Linked DNA regions of Drosophila melanogaster. The protein of the gene in region 2 interacts with the protein of the main gene of each other region in a pairwise test. Each region holds a gene or a part of one and is shown on either strand. Other genes may lie near its edges.

The links.
Region 1: the proteins of Vmat (region 2) and CG10570 interact in a two-hybrid assay, tested with the Drosophila melanogaster proteins (one large-scale study listed by BioGRID).

What each region holds. Positions count from the first base shown.
Region 1 is NT_033779.5:18,808,013-18,813,009, reverse strand, and holds CG10570 (uncharacterized protein), read left to right. Parts: upstream 1-2,023; 5' UTR 2,024-2,138; coding exon of another isoform or gene 2,139-2,191; intron 2,192-2,325; coding exon of another isoform or gene 2,326-2,425; 5' UTR 2,426-2,527; coding exon 2,528-2,749; 3' UTR 2,750-4,316; downstream 4,317-4,997. Other genes in the region: CG42502 (uncharacterized protein), read left to right, coding at 2,139-2,191, 2,326-2,425.
Region 2 is NT_033778.4:13,526,722-13,532,020, reverse strand, and holds the start of Vmat (vesicular monoamine transporter), read left to right. Parts: upstream 1-2,145; 5' UTR 2,146-2,510; intron 2,511-3,634; 5' UTR 3,635-3,655; coding exon 3,656-4,133; intron 4,134-5,299.

The DNA.
Region 1 (4,997 bases), on a different chromosome or scaffold from region 2:
GCTTTCGAACCGATAGAGGGGCTTTTATATCAGAAAGCGTTGCGGACTTAGTGATATCATCACGAGTGGGGAGCGTGATCGAGATAAACTAGTTTTTGGGGGCTCTGATGCAAAATCGGAGGAGCAGACAGTAGACTTGTGCCAAATTTCTTGTTTACGCCAACGAGTGGTACGTCAATGGAAATCAAGTTTGCCACGCGGGCCTCCATTTGACAGTAAACATCTCTAATAGAATAAACAAACCCAAACACCAAACAAAGGTATAAGTAAACAAATTAGTAAGGGGAATTTTCTGGATCCATAATGTTTCAGGTGGTTTCCCAAGGATCTGTTGAGCATTCTTCTTGACTTGACGATATCTCGTATAGTGTTAAGGTATTCAGCACTCCTGTCTTTATATAGATTTTTGAAAACGCATTTTTGAGCTCCGGCACTCTTAAAAAAATACAACCTTTTTTATTTTCTTTGTCCAGTGTCTGGGCACGTTTTTTAATTATTGAACTGTGTGTCTGGCGCATTTGCATAATGCAGTCTGAACAAAATATTTGGCAGACATATCTGGCTATATATTATTCAAGTCAAATGCAGATTTTGACATTTAAAACGGCGAATTAGACGTTCAAAGTACAATATCCGATTTGCTGCTTTAGAATTCTTCTAACGGGTTTCTTTTTGGAATTACCGCTAGGAGAAGAGCGTAGAAGCTTGGGGGGTCCTGGATGTCATTAAACCTATGAAACTGTTTTTGTGGGATATTTACATTTAAATATTATCCGGAATCTACAAAATAATACTTGCAAGTATAACTAGTTTCTGAAGAATTCAAATGATGCATAATTATTTTCACTAACGGGGGAATCCTTAGGATTTTTTGTACAAGGTATTTCTATATTATCAGGCAATCTAAGAGATTAAAAATAAAACATTTTTAGATTTGAGATTCCATACAATATCTATTGTCTGGATATGAGCATAATTCAGATCGAATCTCTATATATCAACAAACAACAGATTAAAATACTATTAACCGGCAACAGGCTTTCGAGTTGTTTTCTTCATCAAATTGGCTGATGCAATGCAACCAAGACTTTTCATCAGCCATCGGTTCATGCATAATTCGTAATATCAATAGTGATCGGATGATATTGTTAATCATTATAGATGCATATATAGGCAGATACTCGAATGCATCGCCGTGCTACGGAATATCAGAATTTTAGAGACTACATACCATAGCAAAGGTCCTATTTGCGGAATTTTGGATGACGTGTCAAAAAACCGCCGGCCGGCAACTCTAAACATTTTTCGAGTCTTAATAATCATGTTTGTTGAGAGGAGACAAAGGAAAATACTACGTGATACATAGCAGGTTTTACTGGGGGTGTTTTATACCCTGGTAATACCGCTTATAAGAGAGGCTTCGCTTGGAAAAGCGTTTGAAGTTTCACAAAAATTATTATATTGCTTAAACCTAATGAAAAGGTTTGAATGACAAAAAGTACTATTACTTGTGCAAAACTTTAACACGATTATTAATAGTACATAGCAAATAACAGTTGATTTCAAGCATTTTGTTAAACCTAATAATATTCAGAAAATCTCTATATAGTAATATATAATTAAACAATACTTGTACCATGTGTCTCTATTGTTTTAAATGGTATCTTGTAGTCGATTCGTTGCTGGCCGCTGGAGTTGCTTGCAAAGGTTTCGTTTCGTTTTCGCGGATTAAACCAGTTGCTCTAGAGCTCTAATTTGCATTGTCGTCCGCTGGAACGGGTTAGCCTCAGACGGAGACCGAGTTTGAGGTCAACGGGGGGAGGGAGTGGTGCGGGGGCGGTGCGAGGGCGGTTTCTGGCGGCTTGGATATGGTGCAGCTGGCACAGCGACATTGACGCTACTTGCTGGTAGAACGGTGACGCAGTTGCTCCGCCAGACATTGCACTCGGATCGCCGGAGATCGTATCGCATCGGAACGGAACGGATTGGTTCGGCGTATTTAAACCAGTTGTGGAAGCCGCTGGAGGGTCAGTAGAAAGTCCAGAGCAGAGCAGATCGGTAACGAGCTGAACGGAGCGTGAGCTGTGAAATTTCCTTTCTTTTCCATCCAATGTGCAATTTGCAAAAGTTTTGTGTCAATGCCAAAAATTAGCCACACGGATTCCAAACAAAAATTGTTGAAGCAAGCAAGGTGGGTAAAAAACCAGACAGAGCCAGTTAAAATTATTGTACATAATTGTGAAAGCATTTGCAATGTCCAGTTAAAAAAAAAAAATTTATATGAATTGTTACTAATACAAATCCTTGCTTATTTAATTTGAATAGATTGGGCAAACATCTGTCATCGAAAAAAGGATCACGTACTGGAAACTCGGCCAACAACAAGGAACTTAAAGTACTCACCCTGTTGCAAACTGTACCGTGAACTTTGACTTCTCTACAAACGCATTGGAAGCGCAGCTTTGTGTAATCGGCAGAAAATTGTACCTATTCAAAAAGAAGGAAGCTATCTAGATCTAGAGACAAAATGGTCTACACCGAACGTACCGACAAGTGCCTGAGCAGCACCACAAAGGACAACCAGTCCACGAAGGGTCAGAACCACTCCAAGTCGAGCAGCGGCTCTGGATCGGGTTCGGGATCAGGATCGGGATCTTGGAGCAGTCAAGCATCGAGTGCTGACAAGTGGAAGTACAACAACATGGTGAAAACCGATCGCCAGCAATTCAATGGGATGCATTTCTCCTAAATGCTTTAGTAGATCCCATTGAAATGTTCCTCTAGGAATGTGGTGATCCTTGAGAAACGGGGAAGCTGGGGGCTGATAACGTTGTTATTTCTATTTGGTTCAGCAGGGCCGCTTTAGGTTAGTTTTGTAAGCCATTTTATAGACTTATTCATTGCTATGTGATAAAAGAAAAGAAATCATTAATCAATCAATTGGCTAAAAAATTAAATCAGAAGAAGATGCGCCAAAAAAATGAGATTTTTAATGGTGGTGAGAAAGTATCTCGGGAATCATAATTTCTAACTCAACCTTTAAACTTAAAGCCCAGAATGTTATTTCATTCATTTACCATTTGAGAGCCAACCCCAAATGCAATCACCTAACAATATTCATTGCCATTTGACCTTGCTGTTTGACTCGAATTGACTTGACTGATACCCAACGCATATTTTATTGTCTGCAGCATTTGCATGAATTGCGGCTATTAGCGTGATTAAGCCAACTTCTCTATTGGGCCATACGGACAACCCTCGATGAATCCGGACGGAGAGCACTTAATACGCATTAGACACGCTTATTTGACAGCCTCAATCTGCCGAGCGATTCCTGCAATATTGATGATGTCTGGCCATCCCCTTTTCCTTTCGATTTCCCCCGCTCTTTCCATCTGTGACGCGTGTCCTTTGCCGACAACAAGTGTATCTCCCAGTGCAGCCGCAAGAGGACGACGTCCGGTTTTCGCTACGAGAATTCGTTCGACTGTATATTTCTGGAAAGTGCGAAATTTTTATAATTTTTCAATTGTATTGTTTGCCGGGCTGGGAAGCATTTATTTTGCAGCGGGAGTGAGAAGGATGCTGCGGTTGTCCTTCGGTCGTGACACACGACTGAGCAGGGGACTCAAGCTTCGCAGGACACGTGGCACTTGGCTATTAGAAAAAGCGATTTCCTTGACGGTGCTAATAGAATTCTCGCACTCTCCGCCAGTCCCATCCCGGCGTCAAAGAATAAATGTTGTGGCGTTTTCGGGTTTTCCTTTCCGGGAGCCAGCTGTCAATGTCCTTTACACGGAGAAAAGTTAAGAACACGATTTACAACTTATTTCAAATCATTTCGATTTTGAACTGCTATTATCAATTTTAAGTATATAAGTAAAAATATGGATATGCATTTCTATATCATTCAATATAAATTCACACACCATGATTTTTCTAAGTGAAACTCATCTAGTCGAGTCCTGCCACTCCCTTTGCCTCCGACTCAACCCATCTGCTTGGGCTTCTGTCTGTACTGGGCCTTGTAATTACTTTGTTTCCTAGCGCCAGGCGGTCCTCAGCACCCAAAAGATTCCTTGTCACTTTTGGTGTTGTGCGATGCAATTAAAACCGCTCCGCAGGTGTCCTTTGAACTTTGCTACGAATATAAACTGTGTCTCAGCCCGAGTTTGCTCACTGGTGTGGAATGTGTCAGTTGCAAGGCTTCCGAAACGGGACAACGCTCTCTGATTTATCAGACAGAAGCAATTATCACGTCATTATCAACGAAAACCCACAAAAATTGTGGGTGCTGTGATTTTTGTTTTAGTAATTGGTACTCGTGGAGTACATGGTCTAAATACGTTGTAATATAAATTTTTCATATAGGTTTTTATCTTCTACGCAGACTCTTTATATACAAAATCAGTACAATGTTGAATACATTTTTCACGAATGTTATACTGGACAAATATTTATCGCAATTTCTTCTCTTTTGAATTTCTAACAACCCGCGCGTGTTGGCCTTATCAAATCTTTGGCTTTATCAACTGAAAAGTGATTTCCGCTTAGAGACAACCCAGCACGACAGACCCCTAATTCCTTCCTCTAATGGCATATGTCACAATGGCACGTTGGGAAATTATGAATAATATCCGTAACTTCTGCCGAGGCACACCATACACGCCCCAAGTGCCGTGAAATATTCCCGAGCAGCTTGCGTTGAAAAAGTGGAAGAGGGCGGCCATGCCCACACTTCAACTGAGTCGCTGCCAACGCCTCCGAAATTTGTGAGTTTCAAACTGCCAGGCAAATTTGTTTTGGGGCGTGCCGTCAGATACAACTTCCGATGACATCCGACAGATGTTTTGCAGCCAACAGGATAACCACCGGATTGCCGAGTTTGCAGTACTTTGCCCCGGAGTTGCGCCCGCTTGCAAAACAATTGTCGGCACATTTCCCGTCGCGGATGTCTCCGCCAGCAGCAGTTGAAAATGTACAAATGCCCAAAGTCG
Region 2 (5,299 bases):
CTGTGGCATATTTGGGTATTGAATAATAAATCCGCAAATATATTCAATCGTATTTGCTTTCAGCACTCGGTGGTTACTCCTAACATTATTTTGTTTAATGTACAGTTATAGTATATATCGTTGCATAAGGTTCTCAACATTTTAATGTATTATTATTTAAGATCTCTTATAATGCCCACTTTTGCTTGTCTTTTGTTGGCCAACGACCTTGCCGCCAGCCCAGCGAAGAACAAACACTCCCCTCAAAGGAAAACCTCTTGAGTGGCATCACAAAACACTGAATCCACAAGTGGCCACCGCCAGCAGAAGTCTCTGGGCCACCGGAGACATTGCAAATCCGCTTTAAGCGTCTTTATTTAAATGACTTCGTTTCTTTTTTTCCTTTGTCGATTCTCCCACAGGAATACTCCAACAACGCACAACCTCACCCGAAAAAAATCCGGCTACAACAACTACCTGACTTCATCAACTGGCAATTTGCAATAGACTCATTGGCATTTAGCAGACCACAGACACAAAAACCCAACCCATTCGCCCAACGAAACCATTTTTCCGCAGAATTTCCCCCAAAGAAAGCTAAACGAGTCGCTTATAAGAAATTACTCAGGTAAGTTAAAATGCAAAAGTGGGAAAGTGGTGTTTATATAGAAAAGATTTTGAAAAACGCATGAAGAACCTAAAGAACATTATATTTCTAAAATATTGTAACAGTTTCCTAAATTGTGAATGAAAGAGGGATGCATTCAATTTTTTAAGATGCAGAAGTTCCAACTCGCATATCAAGATATTGATTTTAATTTTATAAACAAAATATGTACATATTCCAGAGCTTAAAAAATCTTGCAATTTAAGCTCAAATTACAAAGAATTGTTTTTAAATGGTACTTTTGTAAAGTTTTCAATTGAAGCCTACTATTGGCACGTTTCGATCTTTTTTGCTTCAATAGATTTGTGCTAATTAGCTTAAAAGGGGCCTCATTTACACGCCCCAGCTATATATTTATGTATCTCGCTACCGTTTTCCAATTAAAATTGCAATTTATAGCTAGTTGGTGGAAAAAAAAAGTATAATCAGCTGCACCTTCGGGCGTCGGTGCAAATTTGTACAGCAATTAAATGTTGGATAAAAAGCCGACTTGAAGGGCTGCCAATTCCTGGTTGATTATACGGGAAAACCAGTTTATGGCCTTCCATAAACCGAGGTCTCTTCCATCTGCCTCAATGTCAAGCTCAAATCCACTGACTAAGCGCAGGCATGAGCTACGTTTTAATTAATACACAACTGAAAAATGGGCACAATTTAAATAAAGTTGCGTGCCGATGCTCAGAAGAGGCAGCAAGCCACTACATTTTAAACCAACGTCGCCATTTGAAAAATCTTGGGCAATTAGCACAAGCTGCAGCAGCAACAACAATTAAACAAAAAAGCAACGACAAACAGTAATCAAAATAAATATCTGAGGGAACATAAATAAAGAATTAAACAATCGCATTCGTCACATCGCATCGCACATGCAGCTCAATTTAATTCAATGCAGGAATTCTATGTTATATTCTCTATTCTAAAGATAATATATATGGAACTTCACACAAATTTCAAAAAAATTGTATTTCTAAAACTTGAATTATTGAAAATTTGAATGGTATACTGGTACTTCAGCTTTTGAAAGAGTATTAAAACTTTGAATTAAAAAAATTGCAATAAATTCTCCTGGTTTACATGCATTATTCTGGTATGGAATAAAAACATACACGCGATATGTACTCAAGAATTGTTTTAGCAATTGAATCAAGTTCGATTTGAATCAAATCGAAATGAAAAAGTTCAACTTTCAGGCTCTGAAAGTCAAACTTGAAAATCCAATGAATTAGCATAATTTGAAATCTAAAAAAAAAAAAACAGTATCTTTTGTTTGAATCGAATTTTCCCACGCCCATAAACCAAAATCGCATGCCAATTGTTAATTAATAATTATTAAAATGTATTTTACACACTTTTCATTGTGCATTCATTTGAAATGCAAAGACCCATGCATTTACTACGCTTCCAGCACTTTTTGTATAGAAAAAAAAACTAAGCGAATCTTTTTCGCTTGCTCAAAATTAATTCGTTTAATAAACCGCCGGCGGCACGCTAAAGTTTTTAGTTTGAGTTCAGAGCGCCGACTTGTCGGTAGAATTGGAATCCGCGGAATGAACGATCCACCCCGAAAAAGATTCCAAAGTGAACCAATTGTGAAAAAGAAAGTGCAATCCAGACAAACATCAGCACTTCCCAAATGCAAAACACACAGCCTTAACTTGTGATTTTGATTTTGATCAACAGAGTCATCGGCTAATTGGGATTTCAGTGCGCATTTCTGGCGGCTTTCAGTGATTAGCCAAAAGCCATATAAATATCGGTCGTTAAAGCAGATTCAGGTTCATTAGTGCACGTGATATTCTAGGGGCGAGAGTTCAGTTTGTGGAGCATTAATCTCCAGATCTATTAAATCAGGAAAAGCTGCCAGGTAAATGATTGAACTTCATATCTAACATCATATAATTTCTTCTAAAGAATGCACATTAAATTGAAAGTGCATTTTGGCAAAGGGATGAGAAAGAATAGAATACTATATATCCTAGAAAACAGAGCCGATATTTGTTTATTTATATGAATACAACTTATCCCTTGTTATAAAAAGTTATCCCATTTGTTAGCCATTAAAAAATCTTCCCATAAACAACAGTAGCGCAATTAAAACAGAGATTAATGGACAAATATACGGGCTAATTAAAACGATGCCAGATTTCCCTTGTACAATACTATAACTAACGCAACAGCTTTGTATTTAGGCAGCCAATTCTAGTTGATTTAATCAATTGAAATGACAAAATTTGCTGCCGTTTGTTTGTCACGCCCCCAAACGTGTTGCAGTTGTATGAACTTTCAGCAGCTTCCTCGTCTATTTGTCAGATAATTTTCATTTGTCATTCAATGTCAACACTTTATCAATACGAAGACGTCATAAACAATCAATTGTACGACGGGACAGGCATCAATTGTAAACTTGATCAATTGCAAAGTAAATTGAGAAGGCATTATGCAAAGACTATTGGCGGAAGACTTGATTCATCTACGCCTTCAATTACGAGACCTTTTCTTTTTTTTGCTAAAAGCAGTGGGTTAATTCAATTTTACAACCGAAAACTTAAAGAACTCTGCCTCTCTTTTTCGACTCCCTTTTGTGAGACTTTGCGAGCGAATTATGCTGGCAAATTGAATTTGCGCCTGGCGATAGGCAACAGAAAATGTCAAAATTACAAATGTTGCGCATACGCCCCGTGTGTTTGCTGGTAGTGCTCCGGGGTGGCAGGCAATTAAATAAATATTTAAATTGCGTATGATTCAATTAGAGTCGTGTTGCCGTGTGAAAGATACGCTTCTTAATTGCCAGCCCCAAGACTTGTAATTTACTTTTAATTAGCGAAAATCATTGGGGCATAAAGCGAGCGTGCGACTTTTGGATTTGATTTGGAAGGGGAATGGGCATGGAAATGCGATTGGGAATGGGAATTGGTATGGGAAAGCTGCTTACTCTTGATTTGATTACATTTTAAAAAGACAATCGGCTTACTGCCTTGCCATTCGTAGCAACCAGCGGCTAGCGACGCAATGCAATCATCGACCGATGCGGGCAATGGTGGACCAAGAAAACACACGCAGAGCACAGCCCCCCAGAAGCAGTCGGAGATTAGCGAGACCACCTCCTTCACCGTAAACGCAAACACCACCACCAACAGCCAGCAGCAACAGATTCCCGGCGGACCCGCCAGCAATACGCCCAGCAAAAATCCCTTCAAGCAGCAGTTGGACAGCAATCAACAGAATGGCAATATGGAGCCGGATTGCGGCATCATGGGCGTCGGCAAGGAGCCACCGGTACCGCCGCCGCCCACCTACCAGTCGCAGACCTACGCAGGACGACAGGCTCCGCCGCCAGCGGATCAGTACCGCGAGGAGGATCCACGCGCTGCCGGGTCCTGGGCCGCCGCCAAATCCTGGATGGTCAGCTGGCGGGGATCCAATCGCCTGGTGCTCGTCATCGTGGCCATAGCCCTGCTCCTCGACAACATGCTGCTGACCACAGTGGGTGAGTTTAACTACACTTATACCTGATGGGGATACCTTAAGATAGATACCATACATATATTACGACGCATAAATCTTATTCCCTGCTGGCCATTAGCATTTCATGAGCATTTATCTACCGGGAGCTGGTTATCCTTGCCAGTCAATCGCCTGGAAATTGTCCATTTCCTTGGGGAATGGCGCAAGTGGTGGCATAAAATTACCACTGAGCGGCACTTAAGCTAATGAACGCCTTCCTGTCAATGCGAATGGTGGTTGTCAGTTCATCAATCCCAGGGATACTGAGTGCTGAGATTTTATCAGGATTCTTAGATTCTATGCTAGAACTTCATTGAAAATAGTATTCCGTATTTGAAAGAAAGCATATCCCTTGAGTACAAGCAATATATCGTTTAGAGAGCAATACTTAAACTTTATATTATATATATCTTATATCGAATTAAGTATAATACTTCCCACAAGCTTAATTAATTAGCAAAGCGTAAGGCATTCATTCTGACATAGGATAAGTATTATCTGCAGTAGTTGCTCTGATATTTCAGAAAGAGCTTAGTGCACCCTTAATTTATGTGGGAAGATGTGCAATTAAATCAAATACCAGCCAGCAACTAATCAATGCTGAAGTGCCCCTGCTTAGTCATTATCAGATGCCAATACGATGGCCAATGGAGCAGGCTGAGTTGGGCAGCTCCAAGTGCCGAGCCGTCGACAGTCAATTAAATGGACACGCACTGGAGGCGAAGACCCTCCTGCAGTTGACACTAAAACCCCACCAGGGGAAAACTCAGCGGAAGTGGATGGGGGCCAGTCAGTGGTGGATGTGTCCAGCACCAAGTGCTTGTGTCAAGTGTCTGGCCAAACACATGGACATTGAGTGGGAATCCTCCGGTCCTCCAGCCTGACAAATACAGCAGGGCGAAGGAATCAAAAAAAAAAACAAATAACCCGAAAAAAAAGTGGGGCGAGATTTTTCTTTGTGCCAAACGTTCATGAATTTAAATCAACAAGTTGGGCGAAAAACCAAGAGGAAATAGCCGAACCACTCGAGCAACTTGTTGAGATGGCACGGAAGTGAAAGTCAAAGGAAAAGTGGAAAAACTATTAGCTCCATAGGAGAAGTTTCCCACCCCCCAGTTGACAGGATAAACGGATGGGAAAAAGGAAAAG